2 linked regions of the Macaca fascicularis genome follow. The protein of the gene in region 2 interacts with the protein of the main gene of each other region in a pairwise test. Links are inferred from orthologs where the notes say so. Each region holds a gene or a part of one and is shown on either strand. Other genes may lie near its edges.

The links. The genes of interacting proteins can lie anywhere in the genome.
Region 1: the proteins of IFT25 (region 2) and IFT27 interact in binary tests that used the Homo sapiens proteins (3 or more experiments, as listed by UniProt). The two-hybrid records come from large-scale screens. The link is inferred for Macaca fascicularis from reciprocal best matches to the Homo sapiens genes IFT25 and IFT27.

What each region holds. Positions count from the first base shown.
Region 1 is NC_088384.1:14,890,289-14,900,226, reverse strand, and holds the start of IFT27 (intraflagellar transport protein 27 homolog), read right to left. Parts: upstream 6,700-9,938; 5' UTR 6,276-6,699; coding exon 6,242-6,275; intron 5,192-6,241; coding exon 5,075-5,191; intron 1-5,074. UniProt on the Homo sapiens protein: Small GTPase-like component of the intraflagellar transport (IFT) complex B that promotes the exit of the BBSome complex from cilia via its interaction with ARL6. Not involved in entry of the BBSome complex into cilium. Prevents aggregation of GTP-free ARL6.
Region 2 is NC_088375.1:180,726,848-180,737,021, reverse strand, and holds the start of IFT25 (intraflagellar transport protein 25 homolog), read right to left. Parts: upstream 5,649-10,174; 5' UTR 5,435-5,648; intron 5,309-5,434; exon of another isoform or gene 5,120-5,308; intron 5,011-5,119; exon of another isoform or gene 4,624-5,010; intron 1-4,623. UniProt on the Homo sapiens protein: Component of the IFT complex B required for sonic hedgehog/SHH signaling.

The DNA of each region.
Region 1 (9,938 bases), on a different chromosome or scaffold from region 2:
CCGGGTTCAAGTGACTGTCCTGTCTTAGCCTCCTGAGTAGCTGGGACTACAGGTGCGCACCACCACGCCCAGCTAATTTTTGTATTTTTAGTATAGACGGGGTTTCACCACGTTGGCCGGCCTGGTCGTGAATTCTTGACCTTGGGTGATCTGCCTGCCTCTGCCTCCCAAAGTGCTGGGATTACAGGCATGAGTTCTGACCCATTTTTAATGCTGCCCCTCCAGGCCCTCCTCACCGCAGCCTTCCATGACATCTGGGGCAACCACAGCCTAGACCGTCACGGGGTACCCGTCCATCTCGGAGCAAACAGAGCGCGTCGCTTTCCTTCCTTGGGCCCTGACTGCGCCTGCCCTGCCGACTCCAGTTCTGCTCCTGAATCCAGCTGGAAATCGGCTCCTCCTGCTTATGAGATTCCTCACAGATTTGTTCTGGTTAATTTCATAAATCTTTCCTCTGACTGTCAGTCACAGTCACCAACACTTACAGGAAACCGCCTGTGTTGGCTATGAGGGCTCAGAAGCACAGGGAGGTGAAATAACTGATAAACACATTTGCAGAGCAACAGGATGACAAGTGCAAATTCAAATAGCACAAACTGAGAAGCAAGGCGTCTGGGGAGCATCGAGGAAAGAAATGAATGAGAGGGTTCACTGGGGAAGGAGGCTTCCCTAGGGGCAAGGGCTGGGCCTAGGGGTGACAGCACGCAGGGCTCTGCAAGACCGAGAGGATGACGTCTGCAAGGGCACGATGTGAGGTCACCTGTGACCTCACAGTTGCCAAGGCCGATGGCCTTTTCTTGGTTCTCATCCTCCTTGACGTCTCTGAAGGATGTGAGTCAGCCTGAAGCGACCCCTTCCTTCCCGAGTCCGGTCCCCATGGCCTCAGTGACCCTGCCCTGGCCTAGTTCTCCTGCCATCTGCCTGCCCCTATGCTCCCCGAGTGTAGGCATTCCCATAGGCCTGTTCTCGGTGGCGCTCTGCTCCCAGTCCACTCCATCCCACTGACTCTTGTCACCTTGACAGAGGGCAGGCTCTCCCTCCCAAGCTTTGTCTATATATCCAAAAACCCGTGTGCGTTGCCAGTTGCCATTAGAATGAAGGATCTGCCTCCAACCTCAGTCTGTCTACGGCCAAGCTCTGTCATGCCCTGGTCCTGAGTGGGTCGTCCCCCTCGCCCATGCTTTCTGTTTGTGATGCCACCATGTATTTTCATCGTCCCCAGATTCAACAGGTCACCTCTGACTGCTCCTCCTCCTTCCTCCTGTCTCCAGGCAGCCTCCCTTGCATTCCTCACATCCTTGGCTGAGTCTCAGCCCATCTCTGCTCGGCCCTCCGTGCTGACCCCGCCGCCCCAGTTAGCTCAGACCTCACGGCTGGGTTTCTGTCTCAGCCTCAAGTCCTTCCGTGGTGTGCTGGGGAGGGGGCCTCTGCAGACACGTTTCTCCCTTGCTAGGAGCTTCCTGTTAGGCTTTGCCAATGGTAGTTCTGGAAGAAGAGGGGAAGGCCGGCGTGAGGGGAGAGGACGTTGCTCTTCCCGCCTGCTTCTCCTTTTTCTTAGCACTACCCTAGCAATGGCCTGCACCCCAGCAGCACTAACTGCTTCCGGTCTTGGTTTTTTTTGTGTGTGTGTGTGTTTCCCTACTCCTAGACCAGCCTTATTGTTGCCCCCAGAGGAACCAGCACCAGTGGGCAGTGCCCTCTTCTCAAAGATCCACACCTCGGCTCCCAGGGCCCCTCCTCCCTGCTTCTGGGCTGAGAGCCCCACATGCTTCCCTCTGCTTTCCCAGCCCGAGAGGCGGTGCTCCTTCCTGCAGTTACTACCCGTGCTGCCTCAGTCTCCCCCTTTTCCTCTTCCAGTCCTCCAGCACCTGTGTCATTAACATCCTACTGAAATCCTCACCACTGAAAGGCCGAATAGAGTTGCTGGTTTTTGCCTGGCCCCTGACTTACGTAGTCCTTGGTACCGGGAGTGATGTTAAAACACAGACCCTCCAGGATGGTTTGGAACTGATTTGGTATGTCGTGCCCTGAACACAGGGCTGGGCTCCTCCCAGTGGGAAATGGGTCCTGGTGCTCTGTGGCATGCGGCGGGTGACTGAACTCCTGAAGGTGCTGGCACCAGCCGGGCAGGGCCCCTTCTTCAGGGGTCCGGATCCCAGCTCCCTGGGGCTCTTCCAGCTTCTGACACCCCCGACCTCTGCCCGCCACTCTGCGTCATCCCAGTGCTGCCTTCTTGCTTCCTCAGTTCTCCACCGCCTGATGAACCGATTCCATATAATAAAATGTCTCCGCTGAAATGGCGACTGCGCTTTCTGTCTTCCTGACTGTGCCTCAACTGAAAACACTTCTCTCCTCTTCTTTCTCTCTCCCGGCTCTAATCCGCCCAGAGCGTGGCATCCACAGATGGACCCTCATAACACAGTGCCTCCATCTTGGCAAACCTTCACACAAACCCCACTGAGGATTCCTTCATGGCCTACCCATCTCCACGGTCAGCCCTAACCCACCTTCCCACTCTCTCCCCAACAATCCCTTACCCCAAATCTGGGCTCTGCATTCCTGTTCTCCCAGTCCCTGAAAATTCCTCAAGGCCACCTCCTTCCAGGTACCCCTAGACCAAATTCAAATCCCGTCCATTCTCTGCAAGGAAATCTCAAATAATACCCTTCCTGCACAGCCTCTGAAGGCCATCTCTCCCTCCTTCGTCTTTATCTGTGTGGCTAATGTGGATCATTGCTCAGTGGCAGTGCAAGATGTGATGTCAGAGCAACCCTCCCAGGAGGCTCTATTACTATCTCCATGTATATCAAGAGGCAGAATATCACGGTACTTAAGGGCACAGACTGTGAAGCCAGATTCCAGCTCCATCACTTTCTAGCTGTGTGACTTTAAATCAGTGAGTTAACCTCTCTGTGCCTCAGCTGCAACACGTATAACACAGGATAATCACAGCACCTACCTTGCAGAATTGTTATGAGGATTTAATGAGTTAGTATGTACAGTGCCTGGCATAGATAAGTGCTATTTAAGTGTTTTTTAAAAAAGTAAATAAAATATAGATCAATGTCAAATGTTGTTTTCTCTCTTCTCCAGAACCAGAACAAGCAGCAGCTGTGCCTGGAGGTATTTCCCCACATCTGGCACACAAAGGGCATTTGCTTTGTGTTCGCTGTGTTACAACTTATCACGTGCATCTTAATTCTTCCTTGAATGCAACTGCTTCATGCTTGCATGCCCACTGCACCTTGCACGGTGACTCAGACACAGCAGGTGCCCAGTGAGTATCTGTTCAACACATTAACACTTGAACTGAACATCAGGTCCTTCAATGACTAGTTACGTGAGAGAAAAAACAGAATAACACAGTTTCAGCAGTAGGGCTGTGGGTCATGGATGGGAAAATAAAACCAATGGTGTGTGTGTGGCAGGGGTGAGTGAGGGGTGTCAAAGGGGGTTGATTTCTGGGCTGAGGTCTTTTGGCCCCTGGGAACTTTCAAGAGGAAATGCTGTGGAAGCCTTGAAGAGGCTGCAGATTGAGGCGCAGGCTGGAGTTCAGGAGCCATTAACTAGGCAGTGGCTGCATTCAGGTGAAAGAACTGCCCAAGGGAGTTGGGGTAAAGAAGGGCACAAAGAGGCCAGGCACGGTGGGTGGCTCATGCCTGTAATCCCAGCATTCTGGGAGGCTGAAGCGGGCGGTTCACTTGAGGTCTGGAGTTCGAGACCAGCCTGACCAACATGGCGAAACCCCATCTCTACTAAAAATACAAAAATTAACTGGGCATGGTGACATGTGCCTGTAACCCCAGCTGCATGGGAGGCTGAGTCAGGAGGCGGAAGTTGCGGTGAGCTAAGATTGTGCACCACTGCACTCCAGCCTGGGAGACAGAGTGAAATTACGTCAAAAGAAAAAAAAAAAAAGGGCCGGGCACAGTGGCTCATGCCTGTAATCCTAGCACTTTGGGAGGCTGAGGCGGGCGGTTCACCTGAGGTCAGGAGTTCAAGACCAGCCTGGCTAACATGGTGAAACCCCGTCTCCACTAAAAAATACAAAAAATTAGCTGGGCATGGTGGTGGACGCCTGTAATCCCAGCTACTCGGGAGGCTGAGGCAGGAGAATCGCTTGAACCCAGAAGGCGGAGGTTGCAGTGAGCTGAGATTGTGCCATTGCACTCCAGCCTGGGCTACGAGAGTGAAATTCCATCTTAAAAAAAAAAAAAAGAAAGAAAAAGGCCCAGAGGAGCACAGCTTGAGGACTGTGTAGCTTCGGCTAAAGCCCTGGAAATCAGACTAGGACCCAGGGTCTGGATCATACAGCTCTGCCGATTCCAGCTCTGTGACCCAAGGCAAATGTTCTCATTTTTCTGGGCCTCAGTTGCCTCATCTGTAAATGAAGATGGCAATAAGACCAATCCCCCAGGGTTGCCATGAGGATTCAGTGAGACCACCTGTACCGAGGGTCTAGCACCGAGCTGATGCACCCAAAGTGCTCATTAAGTTAGCTCCATGATGAAAATCGAATGTAAAAAGAACACAGAGAGAAGCCCATTTAAAAAAAAAATGTAACTTCAGAAAATAATGTTCCCACCTTATCCATAAGGAAATTAAAGCTCAAAAAAGTGCTTTGTCCAAGATGACACAGCCAGTAAGAGGAACAGGCAAAATTACTTTTGTTACACAACACTGCCTCCTCTGGTGTTCTGGAAACTGGAGACTCTCCTGAGAACCATTAATTTCTTTTGCTCCAGTATGATTCAGTTACTACTGTCAGTCATCTTTCTGTGTGACCCTTTTATTTTCAAAGTATAAAAGCTATTAAAAATATCATAATTTATTCTCAGTCTGGAAGAGGGGAATTTTTTTAAAAAGAAATCTTTTTCTCTATATAATTTCTCACCACTTCTTTCCTGAGCTGGCCAGGGAAGCCTGGAAAGGTCACAGGTCTGAACAGAAACACGAGTTAAGAGTTTTGGAGTTGGGCAGATCGAGGGGCTGAAATCCTGCCTAGGAGCTTCACTAGGGGTTGACCTTGGCTGACATCTCTCAGTGCCTCAGTAAGATCAGAACAATCCAGTACCTGGCCAGGCGCGGTGGCGCATGCCTGCAATCCCAACACTTTGCCAGGCTGAGGCGGGCGGATCGCCTGAGGTCAGGAGTTCGAGACCAGTCTGGCCAACATGGTGAAACCCCGTCTCTATTCAAAATACAAAAAAAAAAAAAAAAAAAAAAAAAAAAAAAAATTAGCCGGGCATGGTGGTGTGTGCCTGTAATCCCAGCTACTCAGGAGGCTGAGGCAGGGGAATTGCTTGAACCAGTGAGGTGGAGGTTGCAGTGAGCCGAGATCGTGCCACTGCCCTCCAACCTGGGTGACAGCGTGAGACTCTGTCTCCAAAAAAAACAAACAAAAAAGAACAATCCAGTACCTAGCCCAGTGTGCTATGGTGAGACGATTACACGAAATATGTGTGCCTCACATGCAGTAAGGACTCAGTAGCATGCATATGTGTTTCGTAGTCTATAATCCAAGCTATTGTTTTTCTAAATGTGCAGAGTGATACAAGGGGCACACTACAAATGTGCATGCCATATATTCATCCATTCTGAAAGTATTTATTGAGTACCCACTATGTTCCAGGCATTGTTCTGGATGCTTGGGATGTATCAGTCAACAAAACAAAGATTCCTGCCTTTGGGAGTCTCAACATTTATGCCTTTCTTGGAAAGGGGCAGCACAGTAACTTTGGGTCTTAAAGGCAACACACAAGTGCCTTTTGCAAACTCTGGTCACTACACTCAGGTCACCGTTATCAGAGGGGGTGAGGTCAGGGAAAAAAAAATCCCATAGTAAAGACTACCAAAGTCACTGATGCCTAACTTTGGGGTACAGTAAATGTTTAGCTAAAGCACTCAAGGTTTGCTTAAGTTTTGTTTGTTTTGTTTTTAACAAGTCTGCTCCTCTAGAGTTTTAACTAGTGATTTTTTAACGAGTCAGCTCAACTGGTAAAGGTGGTCTCAGAGTATGTGACAGGGAGCAGGGGGAAATCCACCGGAGCTGCGAAGTGCCCTGGAAGATCATTCTTCCGCGCCTAATGTAACTTACTGTATCAGTAATTGCAGTAACTCGCCTTCGGCAGAGAGAAAGGAAAAGAAGGTAGGCAATTTAGGTGAACAAAAGCTTTGGATGAATTATGAAGGCTCTGGACTCCAGAGACCACCGTATTCAAGCGCAAATTTTTAGACTCACCTGCCAGGATGCATTTGGCTGCCAGCTTCACCATGGTAACCAACACTCCCGCGAGCCGTACCCAGAGCACAAGAGCGGCTGCTAGAGGCGCGGGTGGGTGGGCTTCGGGCCCTGGGCTGGCCTGGGACGGGAAGGTGGGGAGGGCTGATCTCAAGGGCCAGTGGCCGCGACGGGACTGGGGATGACCAAGCCCGGCCCTTCTGGGCTGAGGGCGAAAATCGGGCGCTGGGGGCGGGTGGGCAGGGGAGGGCTCCAGGTGGGCCCGGCTCGAGGCCCGACACGGCAGTCTGAAAAGGTGCAAGAGAGCGGACACGGTCTGTGCTCCCTGCCCAGCCCCTCAGCACAGCCCTATCCAGCGGGATCAGGGAAAGACGACCCGGCTCTCCTCCGGCCACAAGTACAGCACCTAACGCACTCTCTAGGTAACCATAGCCCACCTGCCCCGCCTCCTCCTCCTCGCTGACCCTCGATTGGCTGCCGCCAAAAGCTCTCACCCTCGAGGGCTCCAAAAACCCAATGGGAGTAAGGAGTTGGGATAACAGCCTTTTCTTGAGATGCAACTCGTAGGATTATCTGTTCTTCAAGTTCATTCTGCTTGACGAGTGGTTGCTATTGACGTCAGTCAGCTTTATATCCCGCCCCCGCTGCGCCCCAGAGTCCCGAGATAAAGAAGCCTCCACGTCAAGCAGCCAGAAGCGGTGATAAAAGAAGCTTTCTGATTGGTTAGAGTCTGGCTTGACCCGTTTTCGGGTTGAATGGGGATTCGCCACTCCCGCTGTCCTTCTAGAAGTGGGTTCGCCTACAATGGGGCAGGTTGGGCGCCAGACAGTCTGGAGTGGCGCCTGCGCAGTGGGCCAGGTCGCGGCGTAGAGGCCGTTCTGACTTTGTTTGACTTCGCAGCGGTTCTGGCGGTTTCCCCGGTTCCCGGGTTCTGCACAACGCGGCTATGACAGTGCATCGAGAAGTTCAGTCCTTGCCCCGCATCCCGCAGGGAAATGTAATTTTTAAAGCCCAAAAATGTTATGAGCTTTAAAATCTAAAATATGAAAGTGTTTAAAGTGATGTTTGTGAACAAAGGGAGAACAAGTACACTTTGATGGGGCTGAGCGGTGAGACTTGGAAACTTGAGGTCGTATTTTCCTCTTAGTCCATTTACTCTCTGCAAAAGGAGAATGCATCACTCACCTCGTTGCCCATCACCCAGGGAGGCTCTCTGTGCGCATTTACCGGGTTGGGGGTGCCTCTTCCACGTGGTTGGGGGTCAAAGACCTAAATCACTGCCATCTCCCTGACCTGGGCAAGTCATCTCATCCCTCAGTCTCTCAGGGTGGGCCTAGGAGAACCTGCCTCGTGGGGTGATTGTGGGGATGGAAGGAGAGAAACTTGTAAGTGCCTGGGACATAGTAAGTGCATACATGATTGTGGGGTGGATGGGAGAGCGGAAGCTTATCTGGACAGATTTGGTTTATCATCACTGTCATTGGTTGGCCGAATGTACCCCCTGTTGTCACTCCTTTGGGGCCCCTGGGATCTCTGATGGCTGACGCTGAAGGGAAGAGCAGCCTCTCAGCAAAGGTACCTGCCTGAAAGTTCCACATTCCCTCCAGACGCCTAGAACATTCCACCTCTCTGCCACTCTCCATCTCAGGGTGGCCGCCAGCCTTGTGTTGGGGAATAAACACACACTCTATGAATGACTGATGGTTTCAGCTGCAAATCCAGAGTAAATGCAAGTTGTCTGAAATGTTCTTTCCTTGGAGTTCATTCCTGGTGTTACAGTAAAGGTCTGTTTCTCCTTCATTCTCCGTAACTGCTTTTCTTCTTTGGTGACATCACGTGAGTCGTCTCAGACACCCCAGGTCCGGTGAGCAAAAAGCTTCTTTCTGGTCTTCTGCCTCCCTCTTGCCAGCTCCCCTCCAGGTCAACCTGTTCACCATGAGTAACCCTGTTAATCCCATAAGGGGCCCCATTCAGTGCGTCACCCTCCTGAGGCAGCTCCACTTAGCTAAGACACAGACACACATCGGGGCAGCCTCTGAAGCCTCCGTTCCTTCATTTTGCAAGGTGGGTAATGACAGAGCAGGGACATCGCCAACTTGGAGAAGCGCCGCCATTTTAAAGTTCCCCTTGATCAGAAACTGCCTAAGTCCAACCCAAAGGTCATCAACCTAAGGGCTAATGTCAAAATGACCATAAACCACAAATGACATCTCCAATCAGAAACATTACAACCCTAAGATAAACCGCTCCCCCCTCCTCCACCAGAAACATGCAACCACATAAGCCCTCTTGGTGACTCCAACAGATGCTCATGTTGAGAACTGCTTTTCTTAGCTAATGCCAGAACCCACCTTTATCTACTCTGTTGGGCCATTTTACTGTTTCTCAAGCTCTTCGGGAACGTTCCCACCTCAGGGTCTTTGTACGCACTGTTCCCAATGAAGCTGTATGATTTTCCTTCATAATCTTCGGATCTCAGCTCAAATGTCATGCCTTCGGGGAGCCCTCCCAAACACACAATTTAAGCATCGCCCCCAATCTGTCAGTCTCAATCTCCTTGACTTACTTTATTTTCTTCGTAGCGTTCACTACTGCCAGAGATTACACAGTCTGTCCCTCTGTATCCGCGGGGGATTGGGAACCACAGATATCAAAATCCGGGGCTACTCAAGTTCCCTATATAAAATGGTGTAATATTTGCACAAAACCTACACACATCCTCCTGTATACTTTAAGTCACCTCTAGATTACTTCCAGTAACTAATAAAATGGAAATACTATGGAAATATTGGTATACTGTATTTTATTTGTATTATTTTTTATTGTTGCTTTTTTTTAATTTTTCTTTTCCCCAGATGTTTGCAACGTGCAGTTGGTTGAATCCAGAGATGTGGAACCCGTGGATGCAGAGGGCCACCTATATTCCATATTTATTAGTTTATTTGTATGGTATCTGTCACCCTCCACTAGAAGGTAATCTTCATGAGAACTGACACTTGGTCTCTTTTGTTCACCCAGTATCTAGGACAGTCTCCAGCATGGTGAGGCACCCGGTAAATACTTTTGAATGAATGAATGACTCTCATAGACTTTACCCTTCCAGTTGTGTATTCATTCATTCAATAAGCACCAACTCTTGAATACCAATTTTTGGGCAGGCAATGGGCTTACTGCTGGGAGGTGTGCAATGACCATTCATATGGGGTGACCTGATCCTGGGTCCTCTCCCACCCCCAGCCCGCACCCCTAGTTACACCCATATGTTCTGTGGAAGAGGAAGGTTTAACAGTCCTGCTTCCCAAAGCCAGGGACTAGACTGTTGGGGCTGATTACCAGGGCTTTGGGTAAGAGGGGAGTGGAGGGGCAGCTGCTGACAAGTTGTTCCCAGGAATTGTTCAATCATCCTGGGGCTGAACACGTCCAGACATCCCTGAAGAGCAGCATGCGGATGAGCTGTGGCTCCCTGCCGGGGACAGCAGCAACCTTCCACGCACAGCGCCAGGGCTGATCATCCGCACTGCAGGGCCCAAGCCCCTTCGCCACTGTGCTGTGACAGCCAGGGGGTTCTCCTGCTGCCTGGGCCCCGTCACAGCCCTGTCATTCACAGAGTGTAGTAGCAGAATTGTTGGATGCAATCCAACAGTTGGGTAAATAGGAGGTTTTAGGGGAAATGAAATAACTGAGAGTTATTCTGCAT
Region 2 (10,174 bases):
GAGGCCAAAAAATTTTTTTTTTTTTCTGTAGAGATGGGGTCTTGCTATGCTGCACAGGCTAGTCTTTGTTTTGAGACGGAGTCTCACTCTTGTTGCCCAAGCTGGAGTGCAATGGCACGATCTTGGCTCAATGCAACCTCTGCCTCCCGGTTTCAAGCGATTCTCCTGCCTCAGCTCCTGAGTAGCTGGGATTACAGGCACCCGCCACCACGCCAGGTTAATTTTTGTATTTTTAGTAGAGACGGGGTTTCACCATGTCGGCCTGACTGGTCTCAAACTCCTGACCTCGTAATCCGCCCACCTCAGCCTCCCAAAGTGCTGGGATTACAGGCGTGAGCCAGCACACCCAGCTTGCTCAGGTTAGTCTTAAAACTCCTGGCCTCAAGTGATCCTCCTGCCTCAGCGTTTCAAAGTGCTGGTATTAAAGGCATGCGCCACTGTGCCCGGCCAGTATCAGTATTTTATAAAAATGCATTTATTCTTAGTTTTTATTTATTAGAATACAGTTCACTTTCTATTATATTTTAAAAATTAGTATCGATAGTATTAAAAGTGTGGTAACATTGGTAAGAAAACACATATATTTTAATTTTTTGTGCCTCTTTTCTCTATCAATCTTACCACAGCTTTTGACACTATTGATACCAGAAAAACAGTCAGTGTGGGATGAATTGTCAAGCCTTAGTTTTAAGAGGAGAAAGATGATGAATTCTGTAAATACAGATTGATAAACTTGAATGCTAATTCTCAACAAAACCCTAAAATTATTAAAATTCATTATTAAAATGGTAGCCTTGAAAATGTAACCAAGGAAGTACTAAAATTGGAAGTAGCAGTAACATTAGTTTACAAGCTAAACCAAACCTATACATTTCTGTTTGTCTGATGGAATTCCTACCCATTTGGAACATGTTCTAAACATTTCGACAAAGCTTCAGACAAAGCTTCTCAAGATACCCTGTGAACCCGACAGAGAAATATGAATTGGGTGACAGCCAGTACTCTAGGTAGATATTTCTAACTCTGAGTGGCTATACTCAAAGAATGATGATTAATGGAAGAAAATGAACTTGTGGAGAACTTCTATCCTTATCCTACTCAACATTTTTATTAATTAAGGATGCACAAAGTATGCTCATCAATTTTGCAGACACAAAGCTTGGGATGTCAGCTGATACGCTAGGTGACAGAATTAGCATTCAAAAAGAAATGAGTAAGCTAGAAAGATGGCTTGCAATGAGTAAGTCATCTAATAAGGATAAAAGTAAAAACCTTTACTCAGTTTTGGAAAAAATCAATCATACAAGGGTTAGTCTAAATCAGGGGTTAGCAAACTACTGCCTGTGAGCCAAATCTAGCCTGCCATTTGTTTTTGTACTGCCCACAAGCTAAAAATGTGTTTAACATTTTAAAATATTTTTTAAAATCAAAATATACTGTGACACACAAAAATTACATGAAACTCATATTTTAATGTCCATGAATTATATTGGAAAGTGGCTATGCTCATTCGCTTATATATTGCCTATGGCTGATTATATGTTACAGTGACATAGCTGAGTCACTGAAACAGACTACAAGGCCCATAAAACCTGAAATATTTACTATTTGGCCCTTTACAAAAAAGTGTGCCAACCTCTGATCTGATACATATAGGTTTGGTTGATCACAAAGTCAATATAAGGCAACAGTGTACTCTATCTGCCCCTAAAGGTAATGGAATGCTATCTTAGAGTTTAAGGAAGTACCACATTCCATCAACATTTTTGAACACCAGTTGAACTAAGGGCCAAGCACTGTGCTAGTATTGCAAAGACGAATATAACAACCTAGGGACTAAGACTTGGTTCTTGCCTTCAAGTTTCAGAGTCAAGGAAGATGAATAAGCATGAAGCTAATAGTATAATATACTACGTACTAACATCGTGTGACGCACATCCAGAACACTGTGTTCAGTTCTGGGTAGTATGTTTTAAGTAGGACATCGTCAGGCGCAATATTGTTCAGAGGAGAGTAAAAAGTTCATGATGATCTATAAACCATATTACATAGAGGAAGGTGAAAAATAGAAATATGACTACCATTTTTATTCTCAGTGGTGCTCACAAATGGAAAAAGGATTTTTTACACCTCCAGGGGTGTGAACTGAACTCAACAAATACACATTTTGAGCAGGAACTTTGGAGAGACAAGGACTTTCGTGCAAAGTAAAGATTTTAAATTTCTTTCATCCCTGGAAACATCCAAGAAAAGTCAGTAAAAGATCATAATCTATGGAAGAAGCCAAAGAAATCTATGGAGGAAGCCAAAGACAGGATTCCTGCATTGGTAGTTCTCTTGGACTGAGTCAAATTCTAGGAAAGGTAGATTGGGAAAAGATAATGAAAGATCTGAAAAGCCAAGTTAACGGCAATGAAGTTTATCTTGTACTCCGTACTCCAGTGGTTCTCAACTGGACTGGGGGTAGATTTTGGCCTCCAACGGACACTTCACAACATGTGAAGTTTTAGCTGTCACAACTTGGGAGGGAAAATGCTGCTAAATATACCATCATATAGAGGACAGCACATCCACAAGTAATTATTGGACCCATGTATAAATAGTGTAAAGCTGGGGAAACTATGCAGTAATCTATTTGGGGGTGGAAATGTGAGGGTTGGAGCTATAGGGAGATAACTTTTTTTTTTTTGAGATAAGGTCTGGCTCTATGGCCCAGGCTGGAGTGCAACCATGTGATCTCGGCTCAATGCAACCTCTGCCTCCCAGGCTCAAGCGATCCTCCCACCTCAGCCTTCCTAGTAGCTGGGACTACAGGCACGCACCACCAAGCCTGGCTCATTTTTTTGTTTTGTTGGGACAGGGTTTTGCCATGTTGCCCAGGCTGGTCTCTAACTCATGAGCTCAAGCGATCCGCCCACCTTGGCCACCCAAAGTGCTGGGATTTCAGGAGCGAGTCACTGTGTCCGGTCAAGAACTTGTTTTTTAAAAAAGAGATGGCCGGGCGCGGTGGCTCAAGCCTGTAATCCCAGCACTTTGGGAGGCCGAGACGGGCGGATCACGAGGTCAGGAGATCGAGACCATCCTGGCTAACACGGTGAAACCCCGTCTCTACTAAAAAATACAAAAAACTAGCCGGGCGAGGTGGCGGGCGCCTGTAGTCCCAACTACTCGGGAGGCTGAGGCAGGAGAATGGTGTGAACCCGGGAGGCGGAGCTTGCAGTGAGCTGAGATCCGGCCACTGCACTCCAGCCTGGGCGGCAGAGCCAGACTCCGTCTCAAAAAAAAAAATAAAAATAAAAAAAATAAAAATAAAAAAGAGTTACACTTCAGGGTTGATATGGAGATGAATAGGAAAGAATGTACTTCCCAAGTGTTCAGTTCTTTTCTTACCTCACATTCTTAAGTTTTCTGAGAAGCAAACACATGCTTTAATGCAAAACTCATTTCACACCTTCTATATTCAACATTATCCTCCCTATTTCCTGTTTTGGGTAGAATTACTTAAGTAGAAATGGCAGAGACTGGGTTTTCTTTATCTTTTGTTGCAGTTAATGACAAGAGACAACCAACCTTAGAGAAATACATACAATGACGCCAGTGACTCACGCCTGTAATCCTGACACTTTGAGAGGCCGAGATGGGCGGACAGCTTGAGCTCACAAGTTCAAGACCAGCCTGGGCAACATGGTGAAACCTCGAAATCCCCTCTACTAAAACTACAAAAATTAGCCGGACCTGTTGGCAGGCGCCTGTAATCCCAGCATTTGGGAGGCCCAGGCAGGCGGATCACTTGAGGCCAGCAGTTCAAGACGAGCCTGACCAACATGGTGAAACCTCGTCCCTACTAAAAATATAAAAATTAGCCGGGTGTGGTGGCGGGCGCCGGTAATCCCAGCTAATCCAGAGGTTGAGGCAGGAGACTCGCCTGAACCCAAGAGGCGGAGGCTCAGTGAGGTGAGATCGCGCCACTGCACTCCAGCATGGGCTACAGAGCGATGATGTCTCCAAAAAACAAAACAAAAGTGCAGGTTTGGGAGGTAGTCTAATCCCCCACCCCTTCAGAACAAGGTAATTTCCTCAGGGCCGCAGTTTACCAAAGGTGGTACACTCTGGGGTGCTATCCTTTCCATTTTTTACAATCCCTGACCCTGGAATTCCCTGATGCTTTATCCTGTCTTTCAAATTAGGGCCACTGGTTTCGTCCCCAGTTCACCCCTTCATCGCTAGCTCACATGCCCTTTGTGGTCCTTCTTTCTCCAAACCTCTTCAGGTCAAGTCCTTAGAGGACCTTCAACCTGACCAGCCCCCTTGGTTCTGGTGCTACAGCTGGACTCCTCATGCTCTTTCAAGTACCATCCATTGGGAACGTGGTGTACTTTAGAAAACGCGGACCTGGCCTACGGCTTGTCTCCGCGGGGACAAGGCCACCGCTTCCAAGACAAACCAGCCCTGGCACCACCTTCTCACCTCCATCCCAAACCCTCCTCCTCAGTCCCAGGCCCTGTGGAGACAGACTTCCGAGGGCCCTAGAGCCTCAGACTTGTGGAGGCCTCGCCCCAAAGTATGTAAAGAATATAATAAATGCCCCCGACCTTAAGTACAATTCATAGCTAGATGGCTTACGTTGCGGCTGACAGCTTACATTTTGGTAGGCTAATTAATTTCGATTTACAATTGGTTTTCCCTTTTGGTGGTCAAGACGCTATTTCTGGCCTCAAAGAGCTTCGAGGCCTGGCACTGGCGCCTCCAGGGTCTAGAGGAGAAGGCGGGTCCGCGTCAGACCTCCCGCGACGGCCCTTCCACGCCTCCCGTTGCTCGTCTTTTCACCACCCTCCACTGTTGCTCCCTTCCCACCAGCATCCCCTTCCTTCTGCCTTGCCCGGCCAGGCCCCCACACCCCCTGGTACCAGCCTGCCCACCCCGCGGCCCGCTCGCCTGGGACTCCCCTTAGTTCTGGGCGCCGTACCTTCCTGGCTCGAAACCTCCCTTTCGCCCCGCCCCACGCAGAGCGCCCCAACCCACAGCCCCGCCTCCTCGCCGCAGCCTCAGCGGAGTTCGGGACTGCGCGCGCTCCAACTCCGAAATCTTCGCGCCACGCCTCCCACAAGCCCCGTCTCACCCTCAGCCCCGCCCCCTCGCCGCGACCACAGCGGAGTTCCCGGGCGCGCGCTCCTACCCCGAGCTCTTCGCGCCACGACTCCGACAGGCCCGCCCTGCCCTCAGCCGCGCCCCCCGCGCCGCCGCGGCCTCCGCAGAGTTCCCGGGCGCGCTCGCTCCTACCCCGAGCTCTTCGCGCCACGCCTCCCACAGGCCCCACCCCGCCTCAGCCCCGCCCCCTCGCCGCGGCCTCGGCCCCTCCTACCCCTAGCTCTTCGCGCCACGCCTCCCACAGGCCCCGCCCGCCCTTGACCCCGCCTTCTCCAGCTCCCATTACTTCGCGGGCCAAGATGCGCAACCACTCCCGAGCGCCTTTCCCAGGGCAGTCCCAGGACTTGCGCTGCCTACCCTCCCCCAGCTCAGCTGTATCCCTGGGGCCCGCAGGACCCAGGGGATCCGCCCTCCCGCGAGCACGCACGCGCAGGGCCCACCTCTGCTAGTTCCAAACCCTCGGCCCTCGGGTCGCCTGCCTGGGGCCCGGCCCCGCCTCTAGACCCGGCCCCGCCTTCGTGCCGGGGCCCGCGCACGCGCGCCTCCCCGGCCCAGCCTTGCCCCCGTCCCCGCCGGTCCCGCGGTCCCACAGCGCCTGGTTGCCCCCAGCCCTCTCCCTCCTCCCACCCTCGCTGTGTCCCACCCTCCCTAGCTTTGTGCCCGGGGTGCTGAGCCGTTCCCCGTCAGCCGCGCCGCGGGAGGAGGGAGCCGCCACAGAGGAGCTGCCGCTCGCTGCCCCGGGCAGGGGCACAGGTAGGTGGCGGCCGCGGGCCGGGCCGCTCGCGGGGCCCCGGGTTGCGTGTGGGAGCGGGGGCGGGGTGTTAGGGAGCGGCGGGGTGGGGGAGGGGAAGCCCGAGAGGGACGGCGGGGCGCGGGTTGAGGGGAGGATGAGGTATATGGGTGTGGACGATGGATTTAAGGGTGGCGTAGGGGTGCGGGGGCAGGCTATGGGGACGTGTGAGAATTGGGGTTCGGGGCCGGGGTGGGATAGGGAGCAGGATTAGCCTGGGTGGACTCGGGGAGAGGCACGCGTGGGGAGAGAGCGGAACGAAGGCATGCGTGGGGAGAGAGCGGGAAGAAGGAATGGGGAAAGGAAATGGGATTTTAGGGGTTCAAGGAGGAAAAGAGCTAGGATAGGAATAGAGAGGGTGGGGTCTTGGGGACAGGGAAGAAAAGTTGGGGGTGTGGAATGCCAAGTTAGGGATAGGCGTGAAGGAAGAAGGTCTTGAAGATTGAGAACAGAAGGCAAGGAAAGGGTTGGAGAGATTGGGGGCCTAGGAGAGGGAAGCCCCTAGAGTGGGAAGACGGGAAGAATAGATGGTGGAGGGAAGGAGTGGGGGTGGAGGAGTTGGGGAAAGAAAGGGAGGCAGGTGGAGGTTGGGAGATTGGAGGTTGGAAGGGTTGGGTCTGTGGAACAAGCAAGCCACCTTTCAGCAGGAGCACGGAAGGGCTGGAAGGGTCTGAGGCTTGAGGCGGGCAGGGGAGCTGAGGTGAGCGAAGGGAGTGGGGTTAGGATTTTTGGTGTGAGAAGCGCTAGAGTTGTTAAGAGTCACATTGTGGGAGAGATTGGCATGTTCTTGGGGGGCAGTAGGGAGCCTGAGAGAGGAAAAGGTATGGATGAGAAGGCAGTAAAGTGCATATTATAGGAAAAAAGTAGTGAGGAAAGTTGAAAATTGAAGAATGGGGACACACAGAACAATGAAGGTGGATTGTTGGTTATTGCTGGTTTAGAACTACCCACAGTTTAGTTTCTGTTCAGGTTTTTATTTAGAAATTTTCCCAAGAATACTGCATTTTCAGATAAACTAAGTGTGGGCAGCCTTGGGATGAAGGCCATGGGCTGGCAGATGTTCTCCTGGTATATAGATGTAGCTCATTTTGGGCCTGGCAGAGGGAAGAAGGGAGGCCTCGTTGTAACTGTCTTGGCTCTGTTCCCACCAGCTCTTTCCCTAGATGTGCACCGGTTTTCGTTTTTTTTTTTTTTCAATCTTATCCCTTCCCCCTCCCCTCAGGCTTCAACCAGTGAATACTAGAGGGATCAAACAGGTGGGTGAGATTAATTTTTCACATTTTTTTTTTTTCTATCCTTAAGGCTGATGTCATATTTTTAGTCTTGAGAAACAGCATCATGCCAAGGAAAGAGCTTGAGCTTTGCAGTAATGCGACCCTGAGATTGAATTCTGGCTCTGCCACTTACTAGCTCTGTTCTAGAGTAAGTTATTTTACTTCCGTGGGTCTCTTTGTCTATTAAAAGGCAATACTGACCTCATAGGTTCATTAGAGATTACATGAGATCACTTTATATAGTACCTAACAGTGCTTGGCAACTGGTAGGTGCTTAATAAATGGTAGCCATCATCCAGTATCGTTAAACATCATAGTTATTCCTACAACTTACTATTCTTAGGGGATTTTTATCTTACTTTATCTTCTGAAGTTAGGTATTTTCTTCTTCTCTTCAAATTAGCTGTAAATTCAGCTCATAATTTTACCCTGTGGGCTCCCTGATAACCCCAGTTCACCTGACTGGGATAGTCATGCTTTTTGCTTGGAAAACTGGATTCAAGGTCTAAAAAACTGTCATGTGTAGTATCAATAATTTTATCTGGCCTTTTTCAAGAAAGCTGTATAGAACTGAGTTTTTAATGTAATACAGCTATGTTTCATTCATTTGATGAAATGGTACACTTCGTGGTAACTTTGGCTCTCTTGTGGTGACCAAATGCTAGAACATACATGATTATAATATTTTTCTATGCTGTCGTATGGGTTACAAAGCTGCCTTACTGTAGCAGGCTGGGAGACTATCAAAATGTCGCTGTTACTCTTGATCCAATATATAATACAGCTACTACGATCTACATTGGACATTGTTATTATTGTAGTGACTAAGTATTTTAATTTTTCAATTTGGATGGGGTTTTCACCATGGTTTAGAACAGGTCCATTTGTAATACACCACCCTGTACACCATCCTGTACATTAGCGAGGGTCAAATAAACCCAAGTAGAGAAGTTTTATGTAGAATTCTCTTGCCTTTCTGGTCCTTAGCCTTGAAGGGTTCAAATGTTAATTTAATGCTTAGATCATGTTATAGTACCTCAGATCATGTTATAGTACCTCATAGACTCTCAGGAAGCTCCTTTTTGGGAGAATGCAGGACGTGCTGATTTAGTAGTAGAAATTAAAGGACACCAGGATTCCTGAACCAAAGTCAATTCCTCCAGTGGCTTCTGGACAAATGATGTGGGTTTACTCTCCAGGAAAAAATTGTATTTATTTTTTCCTCATTTAGAAAGAGAAATGGTATTTGATGGGTAATCTAAAGAAAAACAAACAAAAAACCAGAACCGTTCCCTTTTCTTGAAAATGATCCCTGGAAGCCAAAGCATCCCAGATTTTGAGGAGCCCAGATTAGGGTCCTTACTCTAGTCCCAAGCTGCTTGTGCCCTCTGCTGGATGGAATCAGACTTCTGATTTTCATCTGAAGTGGTCACCCACCCACCCAGCCATCCATCCATTTGTCCATTTTACAACAGTATTTGTGGAAGACACTATTAGGGGTGAGGGTTGGGGGCAATACAGATGGGCAGACCCTGTTTCATTGCTCAGGGAGTTCACAGTGTATTCATCCACTATAATAGGGTATCTTCCATAGAATTTGTCTTTCTGTTGTTAAAATCACGTCAGTCCTTTTTAGGGCCATACCTAGCATCTGCTTTCTGATCTACAGGTAGAGTAGAGCTCTGAATGTTAAATGACAGGGATAAAAAACCAAAGGACATCTGCTTTACTTCCTCAGTCAAAATTAAGGTCTGCAAGGTTGGAGGGTCCAGATGCTCACCCCTACTGGAAGAAGAACTCAGAATAAATGAGGCATCTCCTTAGCAGCAGGCGCTGTAAATGCTGGCAAGAGAAAAGTATGGGTTGTAAGAGCTAGCACTGTGACAGAATTTTTTTCCCCTTGTTTTTTAGTTTAGTTGTCTCCCACCCCTTGTAGTACCAGTAGCAATATACTCCCATCGTCTGCTTTGCCTTTGCCACCTGCAGAATGGTCTGGCAAGTGGGGGAGGAGCCTGCAGCTGTTGCCTGGAAAAGGAGCTGGCTCCTAGCAACAGTATCAGCAGGCCCTGCAACTGAGAGCACTAAGTTTGTCCTTTGAGGTCTTACCCTTCCTTTCATACAGTTCAGCAAATATCTTTTGAGGGCTTACTTAGTGCTAGGCACTATGTCAGGCCTGGGAAAGATAGATGAATCAAATAAGTACCTTGCCTTCAAAAAGCTCACCACTCTGGGTACATTAACAAGTGAACAGACATAGTACATGGTGCTAAGTGCTATGTAGGAGAGACTAGGTGCTCTGGGAAAACCAGACAGGCACATACTGGTGCAGGGGTTAGGGAAGGTTTCCCAGAAGAGGAACGATGTTAATGATGAGTAGGAATTAGCTAGGTCAGGGAGGCAGAGCAGGATGTTCCAGCCAAAGGGAACAGAACGGGCAATGGCCAGTGGGACATGAGAGCATGGCCAGTTTACCTGGGTAGTATGACAGGGCCAAAGATTGTAGGACATAAGGAGATGAGCAGGAAAGAGTGAGGCTCTAGAGCTAGGCAGAATACTCTTCTCTCGTGCTTTTATACACATAATTATCCTTGAGAGAAACATGGATAGTACTGATTCCCACACACAGGACCATTATTTCATCTCCAGAGACTCAGCATTTTTGATCACGGACTTAAATGTGGCTGACACTCGTAAGTGGCTTCAGGGCCACATTGTGGCCCCACATTGATGCAGAAGAAGCTGAGTTGGTTCACTCTAAAACTCAATCATATTCTTTTAGGGATATTATCAGGCCTGTATGATATTCTACCTCTCTTCTCCCTTTAAATTGTAGAAATGATCATCAAATAAATACCTTCATTTTATTTAACATAGCACTTTTTCATGTATTTTGAAATCTCACGGTTACTCAGGAGGAAAACAAGTATTCCAGTTCTTGGGCACATAATATTACCCACATGAC